Linked DNA regions of Astyanax mexicanus. The protein of the gene in region 2 purifies or fractionates together with the protein of the main gene of each other region. This does not show direct contact. Links are inferred from orthologs where the notes say so. Each region holds a gene or a part of one and is shown on either strand. Other genes may lie near its edges.

The links. The genes of interacting proteins can lie anywhere in the genome.
Region 1: the proteins of anapc4 (region 2) and anapc11 purify together in Homo sapiens (affinity purification with mass spectrometry; 8 studies listed by BioGRID and IntAct, with this or other methods). This does not show direct contact. The link is inferred for Astyanax mexicanus from reciprocal best matches to the Homo sapiens genes ANAPC4 and ANAPC11.

What each region holds. Positions count from the first base shown.
Region 1 is NC_064412.1:28,029,810-28,037,743, forward strand, and holds the start of anapc11 (anaphase-promoting complex subunit 11), read left to right. Parts: upstream 1-4,924; 5' UTR 4,925-5,074; intron 5,075-6,264; exon of another isoform or gene 6,265-6,383; intron 6,384-6,982; 5' UTR 6,983-6,991; coding exon 6,992-7,100; intron 7,101-7,934. Other genes in the region: ccdc40 (coiled-coil domain-containing protein 40), read right to left, coding at 1-79, 1,398-1,505, 1,820-1,887, 2,721-2,796, 3,331-3,411. UniProt on the Homo sapiens protein: Together with the cullin protein ANAPC2, constitutes the catalytic component of the anaphase promoting complex/cyclosome (APC/C), a cell cycle-regulated E3 ubiquitin ligase that controls progression through mitosis and the G1 phase of the cell cycle.
Region 2 is NC_064408.1:65,443,043-65,450,461, forward strand, and holds the start of anapc4 (anaphase-promoting complex subunit 4), read right to left. Parts: upstream 3,016-7,419; 5' UTR 2,838-3,015; intron 2,014-2,837; 5' UTR 1,990-2,013; coding exon 1,882-1,989; intron 615-1,881; coding exon 509-614; intron 416-508; coding exon 283-415; intron 200-282; coding exon 125-199; intron 1-124. Other genes in the region: trappc8 (trafficking protein particle complex subunit 8), read left to right, coding at 4,483-4,639. UniProt on the Homo sapiens protein: Component of the anaphase promoting complex/cyclosome (APC/C), a cell cycle-regulated E3 ubiquitin ligase that controls progression through mitosis and the G1 phase of the cell cycle.

The sequences.
Region 1 (7,934 bases), on a different chromosome or scaffold from region 2:
CCCGGAACTCGTGATCAAGTCTCTTCAGCTGGTCTGTGAGGTGTTTTTCCAGGGCAGACTGGAATCTCTTCATCAGTGGCTGCAAGAAAATATGAGATAATTAATAAATGAAATCAATTATCATATTATGTATACAAGAAAATGACACACAAGGTCGCATGTCATGTCATATATTATATATTTACATACATTGTACAATGTACATATGGCATCAAAAATGGCATATATTAACGTCTAATTTATATATATATATATATATATATATATATATATATATATATATATAATTTTATTTCTCATTTTCTCCCCAATTACCCAACCCACTCATTAGGACTTCCCCTATCACTAGTAATGCACCAAACAAACCTAGGGTCAAGCCAGCCACCACTTCTTTTCAAGCTGCTGCAGCATTGCCGAGCAGCCAGCACGCTCGGAGGAAAGCGCAGCAGCTCGGCTCCAATACATCAGCTCACAGATGCCTTGTGCTGCAGACATCACCGTAGGAGTGATGTGGGGAGAGAGCGCCATATACCCACCCAGAGGAAGCAGGGCCAATTTTGCTCCCGGCAGCTTGATAGCAAAGCTGCATGAACTGGGGTTCGAACCTGCGACCTCCCGCTCATAGTGGCAGCGCTTTAGACCGCTGGACCACTCGGCGCCCTGACATCTATTTTATTAATGTTATTAATATTTTCTTAAAATCAGACAGGCTTTCTGATATATGCACGGCAATAGGTGTTAGGTGATTTGCAGCAAAGTCAATCACGTCTGTGTTGGTGGAATTTGCGTTCAGTGGCTGTGTTCTGAGGGCCGTCATGAAGGAACTGTCAGAAGTAGCTGAGAGATCTAGTCAGTGGTTGTGGATGAGAAGGAGTGAGGTGAGTTGGGGAAGGCAATAGTGTGTTTTAGAGTGTAGACATAGGCTGTTTGGTACGTGTAATGTTCAAATAGTGGTATCAAGGTTGTGGGCAAAATCTTGTAATTTCCTATGTAGTGAGCTTGGAGGGGAAGTTGAGCCTTCTGGAGGTCTTGTGAGCTTAATTCAGCCAAATACTAATGAAGGGAGGTGCCTAACTGTGAACCCCTGTAAAGAGCTTGTGGTGTCGTGTATAATTAGTCCATTTGTGATAGTTTGAGTTATTGAGATCGAGATATTGTTCGAGATATTGCTGATCGAATCAAAAATGGTCAGAGCAACCTAGCTGTTAGGTGTTGGGTGCTGATGTTCTAAGTGTAAATATGTGAACAAAAAATAAATAAGTTAAATAAGTTATTTGTCAGCACATATCAGACACAATACTGTCTGATTTAAGCACAATATATAACATGGTTTTAACCTGTATGTTGGTGCCTTAACTACAAATAGTAGTGAAAAACAAAGAATTAAAGTTACCCACATGCTCAGGGTCCAATACGATAAGATCTTTATCGTCATCTTCTTCTTCTTCATCCTCACTCTGCATCATCATGCTTCTCTCGTCTCTCTCGCCACTTATGAGAGCCGTCTGGATTGGTAGAGTCATCATTATTGATTCCATTTGCATACAAGGTGAAAAGTACACTCAGAATGTACTGCAGACTGTTCATCAAATCTTAAGATAAATTAAATATCACAATGAGTTAAAGCTGAAGTCGCCCCAGAAAAAAAACAATAACTGAAATAAAAAACATTTAATTTGATCTCTTCATTTAAAAAATGATAACATGGATTCTGTTAACAATCTCTAGCATTATAAACTGTTTTTTTTTTTTCGATTGTTAGATAAATGCATCATAACAGGATATAAGCCTGAAAGAAAAAAATATTTGGCTTCATTACTGTGGAATTGGCCAATGTGAGGTGCAGAGATGACGGTGGAGGATCAGGCAGGGTACTGCTGTCCTGCGCTGGAAAGCACATCACACACACACACACACACACACACACACACACACACACACACACATACACAAACACCCTTCACGTTACTGTAAAGGAACAAGCCTCAAATCAACATGCTGATTAGTGAACATAGGCTTCTAGGCTATGTTAGTTATATAACACTCGTTCACACCAGTGTAAAATCTCAGCAGATAAACTATATTTTTGCTAAATTGGTGTTACTGTGACTTCTAAACAAACTATTGCTTTTGAAAGAGCTTTTACTAAATTTTGAGGAGTATGCTTTGGTCAATTACAGAAATTTCAGTTTCTTTTTTTTATCTTAACCCAAAAGAGCCCATGATGATGATGTATGTCACAGACCCTTTAAAAGAGATGGAAAATTTGTTACAGAACTCTGTCCTTCATAAAGTCACATACACTGAACAGCCTGAGAGCATCACAGGACAGTGTATGAATGTGTGTTTAGTGTGTTTGAGTCCTCTCAGTTAGTCCTTTAGATAAATGTGGCTCCTTTAAAGCTGTACTTTTTGCTTTTACTGGTCTGTTCCAACCAGTTTAACAATTCCAATGCCCTAAATAAATGTTTTACTCTCCATTTAACTAGTTCTGATACAATTGCTAGAGCACACTGTTAAAATACAAGTTATAAACGTATTTTAAGAGATATATTAAAAAATATAATTAGTCATATGTTACTCACTGAATTTATGTGAATTGGCTTTTATAGGTTAAAGTTTCTAATCAAAAAGTGTTCCATGCATCCATACAGTGGAAAATACATTTTCCTCCTGATGTTTGCCTGTGCTGTTCTTGACGTAGGCAGACTTATACAGACCTGAGTGAGTGTGTGTGAGGGGAGATGTCTCTGAACCGCTGGCTTCAGTGTGAGTTTGTGAAACTGGGCCTGAACCCTGCACAGAAAGCAACAACACATCAGAGCATTTAAACAACCAAACCACCATGTGCAGGCTACTGCTCCTATAATCTTACTGTAGACAATTCTAGTAAGGCTCTTATGGTCATGATTATTACCATCCTCTGCGATGTCCATTGTGGGTAATAATGACTTCTATAAAGTATTCTTGGTACACTCTGTATAGGTAATCTTACTCCCAAGATAACATCTTACACACTCCATATTCAGATTTGGGTTTTCACAACCCATCCATAGAAATAAGTACTTGAAATAGTAGCTCTTCCACGGCTGTAGACATGCCAGCAAACTCAAAAATAGAAATACTACACAGCATCAAAATTAAAATTTCTTGCGTATAAGTGTGCACACAGAAGTCTTCAGTTCAAAACAATTTAAAACAAAAACACAAGTCATGTAATAGTAGTGTATTGTTAAATGTTTAAATCCTTATTGCTAGTATAAAATAAATGTCTGCCTATTCGGGAGGATAGGAATGAAAACCTTGCTGTGACCATAAGCAATTTCTGACCTCTGCAGCCCCCTCTGCTTCCACTGGAAGACCCTCCGTCTCCCTCTCCTGCTTTCCTCCATCTTCCCCACCATTCTCCATCCTAAGAACAGATAAGAAAAAATGGCCTGTGTGGAGTTACAAAAAAAAAAACTGTCCAGAACAGGTAAATGAAAATGATCATTATAACAAACTAGAGATGTGTGAAACAAACTAGAGATGTGTGAAAAAGGACACATAAAATTTTACAATTTATTTTACAAATTAGCAATTGGTTTTAGTGGTACATTTAAACATGTAGACCTCCAGTCAAACAATTGTGATGTTTTGTAAGTTATATGTTATCTTCCCTGTTGGACCAGAACCTTCCATTTTCTCCAGCTTTATTTCTGCTTGTAGATGATTCTGCTATTAATACAAACATCCAGGAAAAAGGGTGTTAATGGCTGCTAGTAAAGCAGCCAACAAAAAAAACTTAAAATCTTAAAAGACATATACCTGAATGAATCACTGCCAGGCTGCATCGTGATGTAAGGGCAGCCACTATTCGACAGTGGTCCAACCCTATTGACTTTATTAAAAATGCCTTTATTCAATTACGAAGGTGTGTGCACTGCAAATGGTATTCAATTAAATTATTTATTTATTATCATTTATATATCTTGTGGCTAATTTATCACGCCTAGCAGAATAAAATGTGAGGCTATTTTAATAGCTTTCCAAGATTGTGGCTGCCTTCACTGAACTAATTTATACAATTCATAGCTGGTAAGTTATCTTACATACACACATACTTAGTACAATAGTCTAAAGTTTACTTCTTATTAATAAAGACTATAGGCTGAAAATATTGCAAGCCTTATTTATCACTGAGTTTTAATGAGGTTGTTAGTCTGCATTTTAGTCAGCAAAAAAAATTAATTTATAAAGCTAAATAAAAAGGCTCCGTTTTCTGTCTTTTTAATAAATAATTTTAAATTAGGATTGTTTCTGGTTGGTTCTACTGCTTGAATGTATGATAAACTATCTTCATAACCATTACTAATTTTTAATAGCCATAACAACTGTCACATGTTATTTTGTTTCCTGAAAATCTTAAAAAATGAGTTAGGGAGAATTTTAGGAAAGTGTCTCTGTGCAAAGATGTACAGTCTCGCTTATCCCATTTTGAAAATGCCATTAAAAACAACAGTGTAGTTAATCGAATAAATTCGAGTAACCTCCCACCAATATAACAAACTGCAAATCAAATAAGAAAATGGACAAGTTAAGTAGTTATAAAATAAACAGGACAGATAAAACTAAAGAGAGAAGAGAAGAGAAGAGAAGAGAAGAGAAGAGAAGAGAAGAGAAGAGAAGAGAAGAGAAGAGAAGAGAAGAGAAGAGAACCAAGTGGTTCTTTTTCTTACCTAAACTGAAACTCTTGTGGCCAGTAAACACTAAGATAAACTGAACCAGACTGCCTTCAAATGATTAATATGAATAATCATGGACATTTCCAGTTAAAATCGTTTTAATAAATATCTTAGCTTGGATAGATTAAGCTGGGTCTGCCTTCTTCCACCGCCTGCACTGTTTGACCCGTTGCTAGGAGACCGCACACTTCCGGTGTCGCCAAACTCGAGCTGCAGTGTCGTGCTTAAAATTAAGAGTCTGTTTAAAACAGTTCATACATCCAGTTTATTCTGTGGAGTTATGAAGTGACACCCACTGCTTGTTATATTTCACTGTCGTACAGATATGGGCTGGGCTGCACCAATTTTGCGTAAGTTTCTTCTTATGTTTGTGTGCAAAGTCTCTAACGTTACTAGTTATTAGTTTCAAACTATCATTTTACTGAATCTGGGTGCACCACTAATCTGTGTGGCATGTCCTAACTAGTAACAACTAACTCATGCGCAGAGTTACTGATTGACGCTTTTACATGACGAAAACAAATATATAACATGTTGGTAATCAACGTGTTGCCATGGAAACGCGGTTTAACAGCATGTGTTAGTGGATAATGTAGCTATAATGTTATGGGTAATATATTATAAGCGGTATTATTTCATACTTATATAGTGCATCTCAAAAGATTAGAATATCATTGAAAAGTTACTTTATTTCAGTAATTCTGTTCAAAATGCGAAACTCGTATATCATATAACGTTAGATGAATTATACGCAGTGATCTATTTTAAGTGTTTATTTCTTTTATTGTTGATGATTATGCCTAAAAGCCAATGAAACCCAATAATCAGTGTCTCAAACAATAGGTGCTTTTTGCAGTGTGGACAGTGTGCCAAATCCTGCTGAAATATAAAACCCGCATCTCTATAAAAGTTATCAGTAGAGAGAAACATAAGGAAAATACTGCACTGACTTTGGACTTGATATAAAACAGTGGACCAACTCCAGCAGATGTCATGGCTCTCCAAACCATCAATGATTGTGGAAACTTCACACTAGACCTCAAGCAATTTGGACTATGTTCCTCTCCATTCTTCCTCCAGACCCTGGATCCTAGATTTCCAAATGAGATGCAAAATTTACTGATGGTCAGTGATGGTTTGGAGAGCCTTCATCTGCCGGTGTTATATCAAATCCAAAGTCTACATATGTGCTACACTGGTGTAGTTACAAACATATGCCTGCTCAGATTTGTGTAAATACTTAGTATTTATACGTTCCTACGTATATACTAGTTGGTGTAGGACAACACGATTTGATTTAGTTTAGCCTTTTTTTACAGCTAGCCTATGTTTAACTTACAGCTGGTGCAGCCAGCCCCTGTGATTGGCTTAGTGCTTAAGCAGTGTTTTAAGTGTATTGGGATCTATCATTTAATTGGATAATTAACTAATTCATAATAAAAAAATTCTGCAATTCACTTTTCAAAAGTCATTCAGCTCATTGGCTGCAGTGCACCTGTAGTTGGTCTGCCAACCGCCATAATATTAGCCATAACTCCGAAAGAGCTCCCGGGCAGTAGGGGGCGAGATGGAGCTGTTAGTGTTGAACAGGAGCTTCATGGCGGCGCTGTAAATAAAATGGAAAGCGGGAGGGAAGCGGAGCTTTATCTGTATGGCTGGGTATTTTCTTTTCTTACTGTTACTTTTCTTAAAATATTAACCGTAGTTTTATGTTCTCACCACAGCATTTTTAGAATGTTTGGTCCCACTTTAAATGGTGCTGCTTCGTTAGTTAGCAAGCTAGCTACAGTATGTGTGTAGTTATAACCTGACCCCAGCTGCTGCATTTAGACATCGACAGGTTTCTGATTTGTATGTTTTGTCACTCACGTTTGATTGCAATATTCCTGAAATGTAAGTTGTTGTGTAGGTTAAACCATTTTGGTTAGCAAGTTAAGGTTTGTTCACCAGGTTTCAGGCTCCAGTGGTGATAAAACGCCTACTGAACCTACCATATATCGATTTGCTGGACAATGGGAGGTTTTTCAGATGGTGCCACAATACACTCAGGAAATGTTATGAGTTTATTTTAGTGCATAACAAACTCTTAACACTGCGTTCTGCAACCCGTGTAACATAACTCTATATAATATGTATTATATAACTAGCTAGCTTAGTTATCTAAACGGCGTCCATGCAGGTAGCTAAGTTACTTTCACACAGCTTTCACCTCTTCAGCTAGCTTTTTGTATTGACTGGACATATCCCCACAATTTCAGAAGTGAGAAATGAAGGTGAAGATAAAGCAGTGGAACGGCGTGGCATCCTGGCTGTGGGTGGCCAATGACGAGAACTGTGGCATCTGTAGAGCCCCGTTTAATGGCTGCTGTCCAGACTGTAAGTAATCTTTTTACACAACTCTAAATGTAGACACTTCAAGGTATTGAAATCCATTTCCGCCATTCGAGGGAAAAAATAAGGGTCCTCCACCAAGTCATAATTATAAGATGGTAAGGCATAATAATTATGATATACTTAGTCTGCGGTTATTATTTCATAATAATGACTTGGTATCTTATAATTATGCCTTACTATTTCAATAAAAATGCTTTGTATCTAAATTATTACTTAACATCTCATCATTATGACGAAATATATTGTAATTATGACTTAGTATCTCGTATTAATGACTTAGTATCTCCTCTCAACAATTATGGCTTAGTATCTTGTATTAATGACTTGGCATCTTATCTTAATAATTATGACATATCATCTCATAATAATGACTTAGTATTTCATCTCAATAATAATGACTTGCCATCTCAGAATTATGACTTAGTATCTCCTTATAATAATAATAATAATGGCTTAGCATCTCATAATAATTCATTAACAGCTCGTAATAATGACCTAGTATTTCATCTCAAAAATAATGACTTAGTATCTCATCATTATGACTCAGCTTTTTGTAATAATGACTTAGTATTTCTTGTAATTATAACTTAGTGGAGGACTGTTGCATAGTGGCGGAAATGGGCTTCCATATAAAGGAGAAATGTCTGTATAAAAGGTAGGAAATTATGGTATTGGTAAATGGTACAATTGTGCCAAATATTAACAAATTTAGTTTTCTATTGTATATTTGTGCATTGGTAAAACTAAGGCAAACTGTGTTTCTGGTTTCTAAGCAATGTATTGATCTGGGATGAATGGAGTGTTTCCCACACATAA
Region 2 (7,419 bases):
ATGATCTTGAACACCCTTTATTTATTTATTTACATTTGTAGCAGTCAGTTTCCTGTGTCCATTCTATTCTAGTACACAATCTTTAACACATATCAGCAATGAATTACACCTTTGCTGAACTAACCTTTTGGGTAAAATTGGTAGCTTGGGCAGGAATCGGTTGGACTCGTCTTCAGAGTCAGTGAACGATGATGATACACTTTAAATAAAGAGAGAAAACGATTAAACAAACTTATAAAAACAATCCCAATCTTTCTTTTGTGTCATTTAAAAAAATAATACCTGCTGTCACTCTGCACTTCCATCCAGTGCATGCAAGACACGGGGTAGTCTACAGTAAACAGGTGGAGGATCTCTGCCTTCTCAGCATCACACAGGACCACCTGCTTTGTGTCCCCCAGACTAAATGCCAAGACTGCCAACAATAACATACAGGTTCATTATTTTGGGGTTAAGTCAATTCTCTGGCAGTAAGCATTCTCAAATATCATAGAAAGCTTTGGCTTACTTTTGCCATCAGGCCTCCAGGCCAAAGATGTGATCTCTTTTCCTGTATTTTCACTTGGGGGTAAATTCCACACACGCTGAAAGTTGGCAAGGCGATGCAGCAGGAGCTGAAATTAATTTTAAACCCCAAACGTTAACAAACTGGAGCTCAGATACAGACAGTATTTATTAAACGCTCAGCAATATATGTCTGTGTACTAAACTAAAGAAAATCCAAAAATGTTTCCTAGAGGCTTTGTTCATGTTCTCCAGCCTTTTTCACCGACATATTTGAAATGATTATTCTTTCCCATTTTATAAATGGTTGCCATGGTTCAATAGTTGAAAAAAACTTCATAGTGGTTTGATTTAAAATGGTGTTGTACAGTATCTGACAAGCACTACAGAGTTTTATACTGTACTGTGTAATGTACAAAAATATTTGGTAAAACATATATCTAAATGCAGCATAGGTCAAATGCAGAAAAAACAAGCTCTTTAATGACCATTTTAACACCTTATTGTGAGTAAGCTTTTAGGAAAATTTAGTTCGTTGGATGGCTGGTTCCTGTAATCACTACTGTGAGAAATCTATATTTCTCTGGTGTTAAATATTACATAGCAAAACACACTTAGTTCATATACATATAAATAGTTGACTTGTGTCTTTTCCACAAAACATTTAGCGTAAAATTCCCCTTTAATTTTTAGCAATAAATAAGGTATTAACATTAATAACATTTATAATTAATAATATGTTAAGTATCTATTGCAATTGTAACTTAATTCTATGAGTCTGTTCTGTCATTTTAATTAATTATTTTAATTTAAAAAGTGTAGTTTTGTTATAGATTTTTTTCCTATGTGTCTTGTAATTAAATGTGAAATCCAACGTTAAATGGACTTGGTGTGCAGTAAAACATACACTACAATGCACTCCAAAAATGAGTAAGAACTTGTGTCAATTAACAAACCTCTATTTACCCCCAACATTCCAAAATACAACGCTTCTACTTGATGGTCCCAACAGGCTTACAATGCTAGTGATAGGAGGATAGTGTTGCCCATGCAAAGATATTTTTACACCATTAACAAATTCAAAATAGCTCCACACTTTATTGGAAGAAATCTGAGAAGCTTTACATTTAAATGAGGCACTGAGAACTCTGTAAGCCTGTTGGAGCATTGGCTACAAGCTCTGTATTTCAGAGGGGGAACAGAGGTGGGTTATTCCACAAAGGTTCATACTTGTTGACATGTTTCACCAGAGGTCAAATCCATTTTAAACTTAAGTTTAATCGCTGATACACGAGTTGTTTTTAAAGGTAATGTAGTTCTATTTTGTGGAGAAACTATTGACCCTCACTGTGGAGAGTACAGAAACTTTTTCCTCACCTCACCAGCTGTGTTGACCAAAGCGATGAGGTCCCTTTTAGGAGACCAGGCCATGTACAGAACTGGGTTTGGCAGCTGCTTCTCCCCCACTTGTCGGAAAGCAGGCATTGTGAAGCCCTTTCGTTTCCAAACCTGAGGATGGAAAAAAAACAATGCTTAGATTAAAGGGACATCATTTACTGAATGAATCGTCAAACAAACATAAATAAATAACCAGTGTATGCAATTTCTCCAGGTTTGAGCAAAATAATTTCTTCAGAGATTGTCTAGTTTTGCACTGGAGCTACAAGAATGTGCTACATGTGGCTAAAACGAAGTGGAAATCTATACTGGCTTTGTAGCATGAGTACAAAAACAAGAAGCAATGTTCAAGCACCAAACATGTGACCAAATACACTTTGTAATAAAGGGCAATACTGAGTTTTTGATGAACCATTAGTTTATCTAAGCTTGACCAAACAGAATCATTAAACTGTTGTGGAAAATATATCTTTGTTATGATTTAGCTACTGGAGAATGCTAGACCTATCTGTCAAATGTATCCAATGTTTTATAGTATTTACTATACGTTAGCAATTCATTAGTAAGTGACTGGAAACCGAGGCAATAGAATATGAGGTAAGAGAAGCTGTCTACAGTGTTACATTTTTTGGAGGTAAAAACGAGCTCTCTCCAAGTGACAGCCAATCAACGAGCTAGCTAGTCTGTGACAAAGAAGCTAGTTAAAACAACTAGAAATGTCTACTGATGTAAAGCAATATAGTTAACTAGCTACACCTCTCGCGAGCTGGTCAGCCAGGTTAACTGAACTGTGTAAAGAAAGTCTCAGTAAACAGTTAGTTAAATAAACACCTGTCCAACTAACTAGCATGTTAGCTAGCCTAGCTCAGTACCGCTGTAAACAGCACTTAAGACCTAGCTACCTAACTAACGTTGTAAATGTTACGATTACTCACTCGAACGCTCAATAAAGATCATTAACTGTAATCAGGGTGACTTGGACTTGAGCTCTATAATCCCCACACGCGCTGATTTTATCAGAAAAAGCTGAACACTTATTATTAATCCAGTGAAATAAATAAATAACACGCAGTGTGCGGGCTGAGCAGCCCGGCTTCTCTACTACCCGCCGCTAAAAACATAACTACGGAAAGCCCAACGAGACAAGCAGAACGACGAAAAGCAATTTGCCACACAAGCAACGAAAAATAACCATAAATAATGCCCAACGTATAAAACATATTTGAATTCATATAATGTATGCTAACCCCTTGTTTTAATTTTAATTTTTTCATTACTTATATATTATTAATTTGAATTCAATTTATTTCAAAGCTACAAACTATTTAATTGTTCATTTCGTTTACGGACTGTTATAAGATGTTCATAAAAAAAAAAAATCTCTCTTTATAAAAGGTATGAAGAAATATTTCATACCTAATGATTATTGCATGAGATCCTTTATTTTGAGAGCAGAGCAAAGAAGGTTGATTTTCTGGTTGCATTACATCTTTTAAGATTAAGGATGGAAAAACAATCTTAAAACAAGTTTTTGTTTCACATCGCCTCATAGGCATCAGTTAGTAATTCAATTATTTTATAAAATGTTAACTTTAAATAATTAAAGTTTTTGAGTGGTTGGCTGAGCTCTTCTACATCCACAATGCTTTTATGTAAAATGTGCTTACCACAAATAAAAAAAAATAATGTTAGTAATTATTATTTTAATGTGTTTTTACATAGCTAGACTACAGTACCGGATAAAAGAATACAATACAAACAATATATATAACATTATATAGCTTTTCTCACATTTTTGTAGACTGTTACTAAACTTTAATACAAATAATACATTTAAAACCAGACAGTTGAAACAATGTTGAAATAAACGTAAAATCAATATGCACAAATATATCAAATCTGACGTCAGAGATCAACATTATTTTAATACATTAATGACGTAAAAATTATGTTTATATATAAATGTTGCTATCTTTCATTAACCAGATTAGTTACCATTAGTAAAAATCGTAACATTTTACCTGATTAAACTGTGCATATTTTAGTAGTAATATAATATATTATATTATAAGTTGTACATTATTACAAAATGCTTTAACCTGTTGAACAATTACTTGCTCAAGGGCGTCCTCTAGTGTTCTTTCTGTTTCAGCTTTCGTGTGTGCAAAAACGTGTTTTTATTAATAATAAGCCTTAAATTGCTGCGTTTTGGTAGCTTTTACGCCACAATATATGGATTAATATTTCACAACTGGTTTCGCAGTTATTTAATCTATTTTTATTACCCTTGCTTTCTTCTGTTTTACCTCTTTTCACCCTCCTCTACAGACCGCATTAAGACTTTTATTTTGAAGGGACGTGTTTAGGCTGCCTGTCTGGTATCACCTGACAGGCGTGGTGCTCGACGGGAGTTAAATCGGTCAGCAGGGGGGACTGTAGAGTCCATCATGGCTGCTGCGGGCTGTCAGTAGAGGGACTTGTTTTTAACTCTGTAGCGGCTCCTCTGTTCTCGGTGACACTCCCGCGCCCGGCTCGTCTGCTCCCCCGGTTCTCGCTCGGACTGCCCGCTGGACCGGCGCCATGGCCCAGTGCGCCCAGTCTGTGCAGGAGTTCATCCAGGACTCGTTCGTGCCGATGGTGGCCGTCCTGTGCAGCGAGGAGGCGGAGAGAGTGACCCGCAGGAACAGCCTGAGCTTCCCCGAGCTGCTGCGCCCCTTCTGCCGGCTTCCCTCGGAGGGTAAGGAGCTTGGGGTTAACTGGTGGAGGTCGGGCGGGGGTGTCAGGGGCTGTTGAGCAGCGGTAAACACTGGGACGCTCCGCGGGCTTTAACTCGGAGTTAGTTAGTTAGCAAGGCTAGTTAGGTTAGCTAGCAGGCTGCTAACTAGCTCCCCCGGTCGGCCAGCTGACAGGAGGAGCAGTTCAGGGCCCGGTCTGTGTGTCTGTTCCGCTCAGTCTACCGGTTACCTGAGCGATTGGGTTACCCGGATCAAATGACACATTTCCCTTTAATGACTCCGGCTGGACTGTTTGGGTTTCGACTGTAATAAAGGCCTCAGGCCGACAGGAGCTCCAGCAGCAGCAGCGGGCTGAACACCCCGGCTCTGTTTTCGGCTGTTAGCCGCTAAGCTAAGCGCCCGGCTACACCCTCCTTAACTAGCTCATAAACACAGGCTAATCCTCGAGGAGCAGAGTTCACTCCTCTAACAGTAACGAGGAGCGGGATTATGAACAGTTTAGCAGCCGCTGGATTGATTAAATATTGCTGTGTTTGTGCGTCATGGACAAATTTCAAACGAAGCTTCTGTGTTTCTTTTACTTTTGAAATCTCTAGACGAGGTTTCTTCAGTTCCCTTTCTTCACCAACACACACATTTCTGAAACCCGGTCCTGGGGGCACACTGCTCTGCAGTTTATAGTGTTTCCCTGCTAGTAACACACCTTATTCAATTTGTCACAGCTGATTAACACGCCCGTTATTGAGTAATGTGGGTGTATTAAGGCAGGTAAAGGACCAAAATGTGCAGGGCAGTTGGCCTCCATAAAAAAAACACAATAAAAAATTCTGAATTAAGCTCTCTAACTAATACTACAAATAATTTAAAAAAATTGTAGTAGATGTGTTTGAGAAGAAATTGTCCACGCTGTCATAACAAGAAATGTGATCTCAGTTTTTTGTTTTTTTTTCCCATGATCTTGCAAAGCCCAGAGAAGGAAATGGAAGAATATTTGGACAGTACATCCTGCCACCTCGCATGCACAATACTGTATTAAGGGTCACTGGCTATGTTTTACATGCAAAGATTATCTCCAAACCAATGAAATCAATTCAGATTAGAGTACCACTTTTAGGAATTTTGTCAAACTCGTAAGTCTATGTCTTTCGCACCTGAGTTTTGTCTAATTTCAGAGCCAAATCTCTTCTAAGGAGAATGGCCGCATACTTAAATCCATGTTATGCTGTGTTGTTTCTAGACTACCAGAGCAACAAAGGTTCTTACATGTGACAGTTGGCTCACATGTTGTTTTGGTAGCAAAAAGCTCCATCAGTGCACCTCTTGTGCTCTGTATAGTTCTGCCCTTTAGCCTGGCAGTAGCTTTTTTTATGTCCATGCTGATGCTTCACAGTATCTTGTTAGACCCTCTTTCTAAATCTAAAAGAGAACTGTGTTCATTAGATGCTGAAAAAAAAAAAATAGACGTGTGTTTTGAGATTCTTTGAAACTGTACTTAAGCACTTCTAAGAAAACTCAATCTGTTTGGGTCCGCAGAGGGTGTGTTCTCCAAGAACATCCCTGTGTGTCGTCTGCTGATGTAATTTGATTTATTTAGGAATGTTTTGGAACAGTTGACAACAGAGAAAGGCCATTTTTTTGTTTGGCAGCTGTAACATGCACAGATGCACATAGATATATAGAAGGTGCAGTGTCAAATACTCCTGTGTGCTGTTTTAAGCCAGGCGGACACTGCGATTTTAGCCTGATTTTAAGCCCGATCTGGTCGAATGCGACTGAATTTCATGATCGGGCCGAATTTTAGCTTGATCGTGCGTCGTTTGTCGTGCAGTGTGTGAGGGGAAGCGATGTCCGATTAATTGCCCATACGAGCTGCGAATGAGCAGTCGGACGCGACCAGGGATTTCTGACATGCCAGAAATTTTGGTCGCTTGTCTCACAGTGTGAGCTATTTTGCGGGCCGATTTCTTAACGTCACGACCTGTTTTCCCAAAAATCTGCACAGTAACTATAAATTATTATTAGTCATATTTATTTCTGTCAGTTATAAGGATTTATATTTATGTTCGGTACACAGACTTATAGCTTAATGTAGCAGACACAGGCATTCTGCTGTTTAATAATTTCAACAGATGCTTATTCTCAGTCAATAGCTGGAGTTTTTGAAAAGATAAATTAAAAGAGAAAATAACTTTGACAAACATAAATTTATTTTATTTCACTTTGCTATTATATCTGAAAAATAAAGCACATTGTCAGCGTCTGGTGCTGCCCGTCAATTATATAAAACTTAAAACATGCACAGAAATATATAAAGCTATATTTTATAATTCGTTCCTTTTCGCCAGGGCAAATTTATTAAAATTATAAATATATTAATTTATTAATTAAAATCTCGTCCAGTGCTTCAGAATATTAGCCATGCAAAGCCAGCTTAGCGCAGCGCATGGCATTGCGCGCGTCATTGCGCGCAGAATAACCTCTGTCTTCTAAAATAAACGTTTTAATAAATAAGGTCGGAGAAGTGTAGTAAAATTAATGCTATTAAACTTACTAAAGCTAATAAATGTACTGATAATTAATCAAGATAAATCGGACAAAATGCGCTGCGCCGCTCTCTCGCTCTCTTTCGCAGCGCGGAGCTGAATTCAGAGCGAGGCTACAGATAATATAAAACTCAGTTCAGTTGAATAAAAATAAGTAAGGGCCTGTAAGTACAAGCAAAGGACCTGTAAGTAAATATTGTCAAATATAAAGAATAGTTTGAGGTTTTGGTGAGCTGTTT